2 linked regions of the Canis lupus familiaris genome follow. The main gene of each other region encodes a partner of the protein of the gene in region 2 in a complex. Links are inferred from orthologs where the notes say so. Each region holds a gene or a part of one and is shown on either strand. Other genes may lie near its edges. The genes, in order: NUP93 and NUP214.

Region 1 (7,496 bases), on a different chromosome or scaffold from region 2:
ATTCCAGCTCTCTTCCTCTCCTGCTTCTTTTCTTCCCTTTTCCTTTCTTTTACTCCTCCCATTTCTTCCCTTCTGACATAAGTGCTGGGCCCTCTTTTCCTAGGCAGTAGTAGTTATGAAATTCCTAGCTTGTTCTGGGAGGAAAAAAGATTTTAACTCAGGTGATTTCAGTAACAGGAAAACAAAAACAAAAATGAAAACGGGACAACCTTCACAGTGTCTTCCAGGTGATAAATCACTAAACATGGAATAAAGAAACTTACAAGAATAGCTTCAGGTTGCCCTATTTTGAGATGTGTTGGGTGCTTATAGCAGCTAGGAAGGAAACTGTATCTGGAGTAGAAAGGGAGAGTCTACAAACATCTCTTAGACCAGTAACAACTTTTAAGGAAGATCCAAGGGTCACTTACTAGGCTTCCTAAGAACTATTCAAAAAGAAAACTGAAAGCCAATTTTTTTTTTTTACCTGATATGTGAAATAAACTGGCAAGTATATGTCCTAATGACTGTCCAAACCAAAAGAAATTTTTAATTTATGATGAAAATGCCCATTAGATTTTCTTTAAAACTGTATTAAAGTACATGGGTGGGATGCCTGGGTGGCTCAGCAGTTGAGCATCTGCCTTCAGCTCAGGGTGTGATCCTGGAGTCCCGGGATCGAGTCCCACTTCGGGCTCCCCACAGGGAGCCTGCTTCTCCCTCTGCCTGTGTCTCTGCCTCTCTCTTTCTGTGTGTCTCTTATGAATAAATAAAATCTTAAAAAAAAAAAAAAAGTACATGGGCTTTCATGCCTGATTTGAAGCTACTTTAAATGAACTTTCAGGGTGTTCAGGCAAAGGGACTCACTCCTTAGGCAGGTAGTTTTTACATTTAAGTCTCTCCTTGATCTTACTCATCCCTATCTATCATAAAAAAGGAGTAGTGAGTGAGAGAAAGATAGGAGAATGGCTTTATTCGTGATAAAACCTAAGTGCTTTTTAAAGAAAGAGAACTTAAGACACAGAGAATGTGAGTTCAGCTGGTCTTAGAACAGTTCCCTTCAAATGTGGGAAAAGGGCCTGCCAGGTCACTGCTCTACTCTCTGTACAAGCCCTCCTCTGGCCCGTGAGCAGCACACGGAACATCAGAAACGTCCACCACTTCAACACTCGCCTGCCAAGGCCCAGGCACAGTGAGTCCACCGCTGGCATGTCTCCTGACATTTAGCTTCAGGCTTGTGCCTGTCCAAGGGTGCACGGCAGATCAGTAGCTGCCTTGGGGGCACACAAGGATAGGCCCACCACTGAGTGGACCCCTTGGAGCACCACCAGCTACACTGCTGAAGGTGAACATTTCCACCATCGCTCACTAGTCAGCAGTTCGGTTATGACAGTGCCTGCGGGGTCACAGCTAAGAAAGCCCACAAAGAACAGGATTTCAACATTAAGTGGGAAGTTAAGGGAAAGGGACTTTTAATTGTGTCAAACCCCTTGGCCCTTCTGTCCAATTTACTGGACAACATATGTTGTGTGAGTCCTAGGACTCTATCTACCTGGACTTGGCCTGCCCCACACAATGCTGGAGGGCCCACAGGCAGCAGAAAGGGGCACTGGCTTCATGTCAGATGACTTCGTTTTCAGATATGGCTCCTTCACCTCCACTGAAGGGGCCCACAAAAGGAAACTGCTTCCTGACTCTGGGCCTCCGTTTCCTCAGCTGTCAAATGGGGATAATGATGCCTGCCATAGGTACCTTTCTGGGGTCACTAAGAGCAGAAACAAGGGTTTGCATCAAATTCATGTGTTGACCAAAAGTACTCATGGTTCTGATGAAAGTGCTGAGCAGAGATTCATAAGATAATCTTCCTTTTTTATTTACTTATTTTTAAAAATATTTTTATTTATTTATTTGAGACAGAGAGCACAAGCAGGGAGGAAGACCAGAGGGAGAGGGAGAAGCAGGCCCCACGGAGCAGGGAACCCAATGTGGGGCTCAATCTCAGGACCCTGGGACCATGACCTGAGCCAAAGACAGATGCTTAACGGACTGAGCTCCCCTGGCACCCCATAACCTTCCTATTTTAAAATGCATAGGAAATTCCTACGGAAACATTAAGAATTGGTATTGTCTGATTTTTTTAAAGGCGATTATTTGCATGGGGTGCTTGGTTTGTGCTCAGGTCATGATCTCAGGGTGAGATCAAGGCCTGCGTGAGATCGAACCCTGTGTCGGGCTCCACAGTACGCATGGAGCCTGCTTAAGATTCTCTCTCCTTCTGCCCCTGCCCGCCCACCAGAAGCTCACATGTACTCTCTCTCTTAAAAAAAAAAGTGGTATTTGCAGACTTCACATCTGTTTGTTTTAAAGCTTGAGAAGAACGGCCATGCCATTACTGTTGGACTTCTTCTGAGAGACTCCTGACACAGGGTTTACCCAGCTGCTAAGCAGTAAGAAAACAGAGCATCTGGGGCTTGAGCAGGGTCATGAGGTGGCACGGGACGGCAGACCAGAAAGGTGGTTCTCAGCGATGGTTCTGGCCACCGCTGGGATCTTACAGAGTCACGGTCCTCGATGACTCGCTGGGGCCTGGATGCCGAGGATGGACTTGTCCCCTTGAGCCTCTTAAATTGTGTGAACAAGATGTTCATGGTGGCGAGAAGCACTTCTGAGAGGTTGTGCCTGACCTGCACAGAGGAAACACACAAAGTGAGGAGGATGAACCGGCCTGGGCACACCACAGCTAGGTGGCTACTGGGTCACCAAAAGGAGCCAGTGGCACTGAAACGGCAAGCATGAGAGCAAAGCCCAGGCTTCCTAGCTGAGGCAGGTCACTCTTCTGCTCCTTTCTTTATGCCATCCCTCCTAAGTGGGGCAGTGGCCCACAGCATGCTGCCATCTGGCCACTATGTACGCAGATCGACCAGCAGAGTGCCTGCCGACACAAGTCTGGACTTCAGTGTCAGCACGTCAGTTCTCTAGTCCTCAGGAGCCCCTCTATCTTAGTATTGCCAGACTGTCTCCATCAGATGTGCATAGCCCTAGTAGAGTCCTTGGGGCTGTCTACAAGGGACGCCCTGGGCACCACTTTAGTCCTGAACGCAATGAATACATTCCATGGAACGCGAGAAACAACAAAAGGGCAAGTGGCTGGGGTAGAACTGACAGCAGATAGGAAGGGCAGGTGGGCAAGGGGCAAGACGTTCTACATTTTGAGTACCACAGCAGGTAGCCTCCCCAGCACATGTGCAGAAGGTGGCCTTCATTCTTCCTCTAAAACAGAAACATGTTTGCATAAAAGGTATTTGCTTCTGGAGTTTAACACTTTCAAATGGAAACACTGTTAATGACATTAATGACATCCCAGAAGCAGACAGTGGGACCTGAGTGTCTAGGGTTCCAGAGAAGAGTTTTACCCCAGCTGCATGTGGGAACAAGCAGACAAGTTCTGGGCCAGTCCAGATCAGAGAAACTACAATTTCAGGGGCACGGGGTAGGGGAGGGCCTGGGCATGATGATTTTTTAAAGTTTTCTTAGTAATCCCAGTGTGCAGCTCAAATGAGTACCCACAAGCTAGATGGTGGCGACGTGCTAGAAACCTTTCAGAGACAGTGGCTCTGGGGGTCATGGGCTCATGATAACTGTGTCTATGGTCAGTGCTCTGCTTCTCAAGACAAAATAGTTCAGAGAAGGGAAGGAAGGAAGTGTATCATGGTGCAGGTTTCATACACTCAAGGGAATTACTTAAAATCAGAGTTAAGCACCAAGACCCTCTAGAACAAGTAGACAATACAAAATTAAAACAGATTTCACAGGATCAACCAGAAATCTGTTCCCCCAAGGAAATGTCAAGTAACTAAAGTGACTGTTCTGCGTCAGGAATCTGGACAATAATCTGATGGGGATATGTTTACTCACAGAAAAACCAACCCAAGATACCTGAAATTGGACTCGCCTTAGAAAACTCAGTCTGAGTGGTGTGAGGGCTCTTAATGTTATCAGCTACATTAAAACAAAAGCTTTCAGCAGAAGTGGGGAAAAAATCCATAAGGCGAGAAGAAAAGGACTCACTTCATCACTGAAATTTCTGAAGGCAGCCACTCTCTCTTCCACACTTTCCTGATTCAGGGGCACGAGCTTCAAACGATCAATTATCTGTTTAAAACAAAACCCCACCAGCCCCATATGATACAACCATCACAGGCATTTCATCTCCTTAAACAGACGGTTGGCATCTAACATGTTAAAAATGGCTTAAGAGAAAATGCTGCTCCCTCATATACACAAAGGCTCTGATTCTAATTTGCTAACTTAATTCTTGACCTCATTTTCTGAGACAATTATAAAATTCAGATATTTTAAGTTACTCTGAGAAACCTCCACTTTCAAACTAATGGGAAAGGAATAGGGGAGAAAAAGAAGAAAAAAAGAGAAACACAGAAATCCCTTTTCAATTCCCAGGATCATGCTTGTCTTCTTCGCTTAGCAGGTGAAGAATGTGGTAACACTTCCTTTGTTTTAAATGAATCCCATGATGGGCTTTGAATTTCCAAGGGCATATATTAACTTGCACTTCAAACATTCCTCTTGAAACTTACATCAAAGGCTCTGTCGATATGACCACTGTGATACTCGTCAAAAAAGGTGATCAAGTCCAACAGAAGATAGAATGTGGAGTCCACAAACTTATTTGCACTGATTCCCTGAGCCCTATACCTGAAAGACAAAAAAGCAGCAAGGGGGGACAGAAATTATGAATTTCTGTACAAATGTCTAACTTTAAAACATTTGAAAAAAGCCAAAAAGCTCGTGAAATCTCTAGATGAGGTGAATTAAGGTGTGGAAAGTAGTGTTTCTTTTTAAATGGCCACGAAGTTGATGGTGGATTTGGTATGACTCCATCTGTAAATATTTTGCATGAACCACGGTCCTCTAGCCCCAGCTACCATCTCAAGCATCCAAATCTACAGGAAGGGTGAAAGGTTCTGATGGGCCAAAAGCCCAGCAGCCACCACTGGAGACTGTTTGCTAAATGGATTATTTGATAAGGAGTGTTCTGTGCTACTCTAGGAATGCATCTCCAACCCAATTTTCTCTGGTTCACTTTTTTAGGAGTATCTGTAGAGGGCACAAAAAGTAATGACTATTGCCTCAGCCTGGGAGTTCCATCAGTTAAAGTCTGATAACTCAGTTATCTCACCGAGGAAGAAAGCCAGATTCTTAAACATTGGCCACTACCACCTTTAAGAATTCCATCCAGCCATCACTAGCTTTGTTCTGAAATGTCTTTGAGACGGTTGCTAACAGTATATTGATGAGTACAATGCCTAGAATTAAACCCAATGTGCAGGATTAGAATGTGAGATATGCTTTCATACCCTTCTTTCTAGCAAAACTCTCAAAGTCTGATAGTATCAAGTATTGGTTATGATGTGGGAAAACAGGAAGTCTCAACAGTGCTACAGGGATGGGGAGTTTCTGGGAAACTACTTGATGTGACTGGTAAAGCTAAAGATGGATTTGGTGGGCACTGGCACCCTGGCAGCCTGGTACGGGGCCCCCACAGAGCCTGGGAGCCAGCTCTCAGCCTTACCGTTCAGCAATGGAGAGCGCCATGTTCTTCAGCCTCTCCTTGTTGGACTGCGGTGCGCTGATCTGGGGGACGACAGGGCTGAGCAGTCTGTTCATCAGCTCCAGTACCTTGTCAGCATTCTGCTCAATTTTTTTTAAAATTAAGGAAGGACTTGATTAAATAATCAGCAAAAGGCAAAAGGGAAAACCACCAAAAGAGGGAACTTTCTGAGATGATGGATAAAAATGGTCCTGTATCTTTGATCTGGATGATGGTTACAGATATATACCTACAGAAAATTCACCAAGCTGTACGCTTAATGTTTGTACATTTACCTACATCTTAATGAGAACTCAATCAAAACATCTTTAAATTCAAGAAAATGAATTATAAATCTTCTTTTGGCCTACTTTTCTCAGTTTATTAAAAAGAAAAAAAAAGAACATAATCTTTTTTTGGGCCACACAATGATCAGTAGTCACCATATGTTATGTCGACATACTTATTCTAGTTCTCTCCAAACGCCTTAGCTGTCACTCCCTTCCCTAACACACAGTGCTCACTAGCATGTCTGCGGCTACCAGAAGGGTGAGCACGAAGGCATTTTCACCCAAAGCTTCACCATCAAAATGTGACGGACGCTTATTCTGCTGCCAAGTCAGACTAGAGCTCAGTGCCTGCAGGATATCCTTGCAATACATTCCTCTTGTTTGGCCAGAAATACCTTGTGGGCAGGAATAATTCTGTAAAATGGGAATTTCACCCTGACAGGACCATTAGCTGCCTAAGCACTAGGAGAAAAGGCCTCAGCAGGAGAGTGGTGTAGCAGTGGTGTCATCAAAATGTTTGTGTACTGAATGCCAAAAGGCCGACATCTATTAAGGAGAAAGAAAAGGGTATACTTTACCTTGGCAAGGTCATAGAGCTTTGCTGCTTCTTCAAACAGTCCTTTATTTTCTGCCACGGAAGCAACTTTGTTGATAATAGGCTTTGTGTCACTAGTAAACTTATCTATGACTCCAGGCTGACAAGACAAATTATGAAGGGGGAGGAGAAGAGAGGTGCACAGAGATGTTACTTTAAACACAGAGAAGCAGTTGGGATCTGAAAATTACTTTCACTGAAAATGTTTGCCCTGGGCAATGCATATATGTCATCAGCTAGACACTGGCTTTCTTGAAGATGTAAGGTCCTATTAAACATATGAAAGGGACCAAGGAAACGACACATGAAGGAGAGTCAGGGGTGGCACAGAGGAGCCAGCAAATAAGACATCTGTGCTTGCTAATTGTCCAAGATGATCCAGAGGGTAGGAGAAATAGTCAATGATCATACATTTGCTGATGAGTAGGCACTAGGTGGAAAAATCAGGAGGCTCAGAGGAAATATCTGAAAGATTTTGGATTTGCTTTCTAAGACAGATGGCAAAAGAAACTCAGTGCTGAAAAAATACGTGGCAAGGGGTGTCAGGATATAATTTTTTTTTTAAATCACCATCCACATTCATCAGCAACCAAATGGTCAGGAGTATGTGAGAAGCCACAGGAAGCATGGAAGAGCTAGGGCGGCCAGAGTGACCTCTGTCTGGCTGTTCTGATTCTCCCTCAGCACTGGACCTAGTAGGGGTGACTTGTTCCTGCCACCCCAGGGGCACACAGGAGAAGAGTGAAGGGCATGGGCTCCGGGTCAAGAAGGCCTGGGTCAAATTCCAGTTTCCCTTCTTACTAGCTGTGTGATCCCGAAGAAAATAACCTTTCTTGCCTCCATTTCCTCACTTGAAAAACACCTTGTTGGATTATCATTGTGGTGATTGAATTAGAAAACACCTGTACAGCATTCAGCACAGTGCCTGGCAAATGTCACTGCTCAAGAAGCACGGCCACTGTCATCAGTACGGTCACTGGCCTTTCTTCTGAGCTGGAGAGTGTGAGCCCTGTGAGCTCATCTT
Region 2 (8,157 bases):
ATAAGAATTTGGGGCTGAGCTCTGGAGCAGTTTGCTTCAAATCATACCTGATGCCGAGGGGGAGACTGAGGACTTTGAAGACACGGAGCCCGGTGGTGCTGAGAGGGGCGTGGGGTGGTTGAGGGGTCCAGAAGCGGCTGGCTTGGAGGTGGAGGGGAACGGCAGCGCGGGTGCACCCTGGGAGCTGATGGCAGGAGCGGAGGGAGCCACTGCAGTGAACCTGAAACGGCGGCCCAACTGTGTGAGAAGCGCTCTCAAGGAGGCTCCTTCACATTGATCATGAGCAATGCCACCAATGGATAACTTACGGCTCCTATAGTTTTCTTTGTGAAACATAATGTTTAGCTATTTCTTATAAAAAGCGAACGCTGCAAGGAAACATTTATCTTATCCTCTGTGTTCTAAGGAGTCAACTATTCCATGAATTATAATGAGCTCTTTATATAAAGGAAAAATGAAGTTTATCAGGTTGTGAAATATTTATTTTCCCTTCTATCAAACCAAGTGGAAAAAAAAAAAAAGGAGGCTAGGACTCTGTTACACTTAGGAATGTCTAGTATTGTCCTGCCGATGAAATTACTGAGAACTCACTTTGGGGCGCTCACCTCCTCTGGGGAGTCAGAAAGGCAGAGGAAAGCAGATCACTACCTTTAGGGTGCTCATAGGCATGGAAAGTTAAGTTTTACCTACAGGGCAAAAGCCTGTAAACAATCTAAATTATCCAGCATGAGCCGACTGGCCACATACAGTACAGTGAGGCTACAAAGTAGAATTTTTTTTTTTTTTAGATATTTTATTTATTTATTTATTCATGAAAGACACACACAGAGAGAGAGGCAGAGACAAAGGCAGAGGGAGAAGCAGGCTCCATTGCAGGGAGCCTGATGTGGGACTCGATCCCGGGACTCCAGGATCACGCCCTGGGCCAAAGGCAGGCGCTAAACCACTAAGCCACCCAGGGGATTCCCCTACAAAGTAGAATCTTAGGCAGCCGTTAGAATGAAGTGGCTGTGTGACAATGGCAGCAGCAAGGGTGACAGCCAGCACTGCCTCCGTGGCAACAAAAGGCAGCAAAGGAGAGCAGGAAAGCTTGGGAGGGTTATGGGGTATCAGCGATCACTTTCTGCAGAAGGCTTGCATTCCAGCAGGGAGAACATAAGATGCAGACAAAGAAGTCCAAAATGGGATGTGAGTGAGCTGGTAGGACCCACACGTGGAAGAAACCGAGGACCATGTTAAGGAGTTATGGACTATCCAGGAAGAGCAGTGAGAAGCCCCTGGGGACTGTTGCACAGGGAAGTCACCTGACACGGGCACAACTTCACAGACCGTCGTAGTGGCTGTCACAGAGCAGTTCACAGAGTAAAGGGACAGAAGGATTCTAAGAGATTCACTCCCCCAACCCAGGATGTATATTCCTTATTGCTTCATTTTTTAAAATAAGGATTATCAGGGTGCCTAGGTGGCTTAGTTGGTTAGGGGTCTGCCTCTTGATTTTGGCTCAGGTCATGATCTCAGGGTTGTGAGATCCAGCCCCGAGAGTCCAGCTCCAAACTGGGTGTGGAGCCTGCTTGGGATTCCCTCTCCCTCTGCCCCTCCCTGTGCTTGCTCTCTCTCAAAAAACAAGCTAAATAAATAAAACAAAATAAAGATAGGGATATCTTCTATATTTAAAATCTGAAAAGCAAAAACCAGCATATAAACATAAACTTATAATGATTAAAAAAAAATTATCTAAGAGACTCCTGGACTCCATCCATTGATTAGATGCAAACCTTTTATGTTTGAATTCTCACCATTTGCAGTTACCATTTTGGAAAACAGGAAAAAGAAAAAATTTATTGTAACTCCACCCACCGTGACTCTACTTCCAGGGAACAACGTGATGTTTCTACTAATGCCACAGAAGCAGCGAACTTTCTTCAAGTGTTACTTACTTCTCACTAAGGTTGACCTTGACTGCAGAGGCTGAGGGTGGGAAAGCAGGCTTCAGTCCTATATTTGGAGCAGAGACACTTGGCATCGGCGTGCTTTCCAAGGTAGGCTTAAACCCCGAGGATCCAAAGGAGAACGAGGTTGCAGATGGTGTCATGGGAGAGGCCACAGGGGTGGGCACTAGGGAGGCTTGAGGAGGGGGAACAAAAGAAAAGGTGGATGCGACAGAGCCACTGGAATATGGAGGGGGCTCCCCTGGGACAGAACCAGATGACTTCAAGGATGAAGAACCAAAGGAGAACACGGCAGGGGCTCCAACAGCAGAAGGCACAGAGAAGGTGGAGGGGGAGGCAGCCAGTGACGAAGGTGGGCCAGAGACTGGAGCTGCAGGGGTTGGCGTGTCGAGCTTCTGTGGGGCTTGAGAGGAGGTTGGCGTAGTGGGAGTACTGCCTGCAGTAAATGAAATGGAGAAAAAGGAAGACAGAAGTTAGCACCGCAACAGTGGAGGTCCATACGGCAGAAAGCAAGTGGAAAGAAACTCGCAGCGGAGGGAAGACAGAAAGAAAGGTCCTAGTTCAAGAGCGGGGGAGAAAAGAGAGCAGGGCTGATGGGGGACCTGCCACAGCAAACTTTCCACATAGTAAGTTGGACAAAACTTTAGAGGAAAAGAGAGACAGGGAAAGGCATTAAGTTAACAGGACTTCATGGACACACAGCTGAATCCCAGAGGAAAAATGCGTGTCTCGGTGTTATAGGGAAAAAGAAACCATTCTGCAACATTTCACAGCAATCAGGAAAAAACTTCCCTTCAGACCTCCACTTCATAACAGTTACTAAAAGCAATTCCAGCTAAATTAAAGATGTCCACGTATACAAAAGCTCACGTATACATACATCTCAAAACAAAGGAGACAAAAAAGTGAGTGAAGTCACTGAATCTAACAACCTGAAATTTAGAAGTGACCAAAAGAAAAAAAAAATCACAAAAGGAAAAGATGAAGATTTGACTGTGTAAAAACAGTTACATAAAAGGTAAATGAAATTTTAAAAATCTGTAGCAAATATGTTTTATATTTTTAAAAAAACTCACATAAACTGAGATAAAGAAATTTCAAAAAAAAAATTCCAAGACTACGATATAAGCTGAGAACCTAATTCATAAAATAATACATTCAATCTGTGTGTAATCAAAAAAATGCAAATTTAAATAAGGCATATTTTTTATTGTCCTTAAAATTTAAATATGTATAACCCCTTATGCTTGGAAGGGTAACATGAACCTGAAAACTTTTATCACTAGTAGGCACCAAATTTAGCATAATCTTTTAGAAAATACTTTAGCATTGTCTCAAAAAATCATAAAAAATAGACTCAGAAATCCCACTTCTAAGAATAAAGCCTACAAAAATAACCTAACATGAAAAACACATTTAATACAACCCAAATGCTAAAAGATGTTCAATGGAATAGTAAGCACTCTTTTATGTGAATCACAAAGATTATATAAGAACACAGAAACACAATTTAAATTAAAAACCTACACACCAATGGTATATACAATAGAATTACAACAACGAAGAAAGATGTTTATGAAAAAAACACGAGAAGAGGAGGGCAGGTTTAAATTTTTTTCTATTTTCCCAACTTTCTATAAATGTGTTAATTTGCCAAATTCAATTAACTCAATAAATATATTAAAAAATAGTATTTTTTTAAATCAATAAACTTATTTTAGTGGGTCTCCACTCTTCCAAACTGTCTGAGCTGTAAATTTACCTTCACTATGTCAAAAGTAATGAAACACTTACAAGTATAAAAATACTTCTAAAAAAGAAGACCTCAGTGAATTGTCACTTTTATGGAAGCATAATAATGCAAGCAAATTTATTGTTAATATTTCTTTCACACAATAAATAGGGAACCAGCAACCACCAACTTCTTTAAAAACACAAACATGGGCAGCCCAGGTGGCTCAGTGGTTTAGTGTTGCCTTCAGCCCGGGACGTGATCCTGGAGACCCGGGATCGAGTCCCACATCGGGCTCCCTCCCTACATTGAGCCAGCTTCTCCCTCTGCCTGTGTCTCTGCCTCTCTCTCTCTCTGTGTCTTTCATGAATAAATAAATAAAATATTAAAAAAAAACAAAAAACAAACCACAAACATATAGATATTTGTCACTTCCACACACATTCAGTAGACCAACATGAAGAGTACATATAGGACCCGAAAGAAATTAGAGGCACTTTAATTGAAAATAGAACTGAACATATGAAAACTGCCGCACTGCTACTTCTGATCATTCACCAAAGCAAATGTGGAGCGGTAGCGTAAAAATGAGCAGAACCATTTGTGTCTTCTGGGTCTACCCCCTGGGCTTTAGCTATAACTGGCAGGCTACTTTCTCCCCCTTCAATGGCTCTCTTCTGCTCATCTAAACATGGCTACCACCTCTGGACCAAGCATGAGGCAAAAAATAAAACTAGCCTCTGCTTGTGCTAGAGGATTTGATGGGCTAGGAGCAAAGTCCTTCACACTGGACTGTGCTCAGAAGTAAACATCACCCTGCTCTCACAAGTGATACTGTCACTGTGAAAATTAGTGTTTACATGTGTGCATTTATGTATATGAAGAATATGGACCAAAATGTTAATAACTATGGCTATTGCTTGATGACTGATGGGCTCTTAAATGATTGTGTACTTTCTAATTTTCCTCCAATAAACATATACTACTCAAGCAATATTTTCAAAGAGGAGGGGAGAAAAACCTAAAGTAAATTAAATATAAACAAAAATAAAATCACCATGTTCCCACTGCCCAGACATAACCACTATTTAGATTTTAATATCCAACTTGCTAGTATTTTCCCTATGTACATATTTTTTTCTCAATGAGAAAGAAATCATAAAGCATACAGTGCTTTTTCATGATACATTCGACTACAGCTTTGTCAACAAATGCAACATTTTTAAGTTCCGTGGCATTCACGGTATGCACATACGAAGACATATGTAACCAATCCTCTGGGACTAAACATGTTGGTAGGATTCAGACCATACGATACAGGGTGCTGTAACAGGATACTGTTGGTAGATTACCTGATGGGATTCATTTGGCTGAGTTTCCTTTTCTCTAAAGTAAAGGTTGGAGAATAAAGCTTGTGGGTGAGAGGATGCAAGAATGTGCGTGTGTTCAAGGAAAAGTCCCTGCTTCGTTCAGACTGGCTCAAGGAAGAGGATCATTATGTGTCCCTACACAGTGTTCATCCCTGGGGATGGTCCAGAACGAGCCCATGGCACTCCCTCTGTGACAGAGCAGAAAGAGGCACGTACCTGACGACTTGGGTTGTCGCTCTCCTTCTAACGAGAGCCGCTCTGGCATCTTGATGAGGGACCTAACCCCGGGATTTTGATTGATCATATAAAATGGACAGAGCACACCGTCTGTTGAAAGTAACATAAGAACTGGAGCAGGAGGAAGAGTTTTCTCATCATCTGTTAAGAAAATAAGCACAAGTGAAAAATGAACCAAGTCCCGAAGGCAAAGACTATTCTAAGCAAGAAGGCTATAGTAGACTTGCCCCAACAGTAGCTCAAGACTGTTTGCTCTGATTCATATCTGAACAGCCTCGAGAGCACTGGCTCTTGAAAGAGAACTACTGCCATTCTCAGTGGCTACCATCATGCCAGACCCTGCAGGGAAGTTCCAGTAGTCCTATGGCAGCTGTGACTGTCCCTGAGCTCCTGAGACTTTGACGAGTGTCTCAGGGTTCATGATGTCCCAAGACAGGTGTCTCTAGGAGGGGGCTGGCCTAGCAGAAAAGTGACAGACTACACACTTTGGAAAATACACAGGACGTAGAAAGGTAAGTCAAACTACTTTATATTCATTCACAGTTCAATCCTAAGATGTATTTTGTCAATTAGGACTTGAAGAGACTCAGAATAAATGAACTAAGGAGACCAAATAATCTTACCAGGGAAAGGACAGGAAGGAACTTAGTGGTGCTCAACAATGACACCTCTCTAAATTGAAGTACCAAAGAGCATAGGGCATGAGTTCCACTATACTGGTGCATCTCACAGACTGCAGCCCTATCTCGCTCCAAGAGAGAAGACCCATTCATAGCACAAATTCAGGCCTGCCCTGGAAGCCAAGTGCTTGAGGTCCCCATTCTCTGATCTGTGTCTTTAAACCAAGCACTGTTACGCAGTACTGAACTAGGGTGCTGTTTCTGTGGGAGGCCGCTGGGAAACTGGAATGCTTGGAGAAACAAGGCAATGAGACCCTTCTGTTCTAGATTTCACCTATACATGAAAGCACACAGAGATAGGCATGCGTGAGTGTACACACGGGTGCGCACACACACAGGCACGCACACACACACACGCACAGAGTCTGGCTTTTGTCTTATCAATGAATGTCAATCAAGTTAATCTAGTGGCGTCACAATGCACTCTGTATCATTCTTCAAGTAGCAATGCACTACCAGGAGTTAAGTGCCCCGCAGAGTAGATTCTGTCATGAACACGCAGAACAGGATTTCAATATCAACCACGACCACTTTTGCACTGAGCTACATCAGGCCACACTTACTGAGGGTGATTTCCACTTGATTAGTATAGTCTATGGCAACTCCCACAGGCAGCGAGTCATCACTCTTGTCTGTCACAGGCAGTTCAGCTCGACTGGAATCCTCTAGGAGCCAAGATTCCCAATTAATCTGGAAAAAAGAAGTAAAGATGAAAAAGCTATGTTGGTTAGAGCTTTGCAATGGTCCTCCCATATTTCAAAAAGGAGAGAAGACAATTCACTTGGTTTAGATTTATGTGTTGACCAGACTCTGAAATTTGGAAAGATGGTCTAAAAGCAACGGGCATCCTAGCAAGTGAGGGGTTAATTTTCCAAATTAACCCATGTGTTACTGGTATACCAAGTACCTGCCTTGTGAATAACCACTATCGTGAACACTTTCCCAAGTACTGTCTACCCCAACTAGGTACATTCCTAAACGTGGTGGATAAATCTAATACCTGCACCAAACAGTTATTAGCTGCTCCTGGAAATGTGGGATTGGCACAAGGAACTCCAGTTGATTGCTACTGTGGTCTTGAGCAATGTGGCTTGTAGGGCTGGCCAGATGCCCTATGCCCACTTGTTAATGGACAGAATTACCCTTAGTTCTTATCCTCCCAGATCTTGGCATCTGTTCCTCCCATGGGGCCCTTCCTGCCTTCAGGGTTCTTGAGAAACCACTGAGTCTTTCCAATAAACTCTTCTGCTTATGTCTGTGCTTGAATGGGCTATATTCCTGCCAATACATGATTTGATTTTTTTTTAAAGATTTTATTTATTCACTCTGAGAGACACAGAGAGAGGTGCAGAGACACAGGCAGAGGGAGAAGCAGGATCCTTGCAAGAAGCACTCATATGGGACTTGATCCTGGGATCACGCCCTGAGCCGAAGGCAGACGTTCAACTGCTGATCCACCCAGGCATCCCTATGATCTGATTTTTAAAAACCACACATTTGTCTAACTTTCAGTGTTGACCAAAACTGGGCAGCACAACTCAAAAGGAAATAATGCTCTATGAATAACAGAGAGAAAACAAAAAGCCCTTCAGGAAAGGGAATGTAATCATACTCCATGACTTAGCTATGGTGTGAATAATAATTGCATTCATAATAATGTAAATAAAGTTGATATCAAGTTTGAAAAACAATCTATAGGACAGCCTTGCTGGCACAGCGGTTTAGCGCCGCCTGCAGCCCACGGCATGATCCTGGAGACCCGGGATCGAATCCCACGTCGGGCTCCCTGCATGGAGCCTGCTTCTCTCTCTGCCTCTCTCTCTTTCTCTCGCTCTGTATCTCTCATGAGTAAATAAAATAAAATATTAAAAAAAAGAAAAACAATCTATAGACAAAATAAAGAAAACTTAATAATTACTACAGAACAGAATACAACAGTACCAGTTTTGATTCTGCAAAAGACAAGCTACAGATGAGAACAGCAGTGAGGTGGGAGCGGGGAAGGTATGCTAAAGGCGAGAGTGGGAGAGAAGGTATTCCTCTCACAAAGTAGAGAGTCAAGAGATACTGGGTATAGTGATAACTAAGAAATGGAAGATTAAAAGTATTACTTACAGTTACAAAGGTAACCAGCAGAAGAAACTACAACAGTGCTGTAACCCCGTTGAAGGGAAAGGAGGATTTGAGGG

Evidence for each region.
Region 1: NUP214 (region 2) and NUP93 share a complex: the UniProt entries of both Homo sapiens proteins name them as parts of the nuclear pore complex. The link is inferred for Canis lupus familiaris from reciprocal best matches to the Homo sapiens genes NUP214 and NUP93.

Annotation. Positions count from the first base shown.
Region 1 is NC_049223.1:58,737,991-58,745,486, forward strand, and holds part of NUP93 (nuclear pore complex protein Nup93), read right to left. Parts: intron 6,573-7,496; coding exon 6,456-6,572; intron 5,689-6,455; coding exon 5,570-5,688; intron 4,693-5,569; coding exon 4,575-4,692; intron 4,132-4,574; coding exon 4,048-4,131; intron 2,664-4,047; coding exon 2,535-2,663; intron 1-2,534. UniProt on the Homo sapiens protein: Plays a role in the nuclear pore complex (NPC) assembly and/or maintenance. May anchor nucleoporins, but not NUP153 and TPR, to the NPC. During renal development, regulates podocyte migration and proliferation through SMAD4 signaling.
Region 2 is NC_049230.1:53,016,811-53,024,967, forward strand, and holds part of NUP214 (nuclear pore complex protein Nup214), read right to left. Parts: intron 6,659-8,157; coding exon 6,532-6,658; intron 5,430-6,531; coding exon 5,268-5,429; intron 2,386-5,267; coding exon 1,938-2,385; intron 221-1,937; coding exon 48-220; intron 1-47. UniProt on the Homo sapiens protein: Part of the nuclear pore complex. Has a critical role in nucleocytoplasmic transport.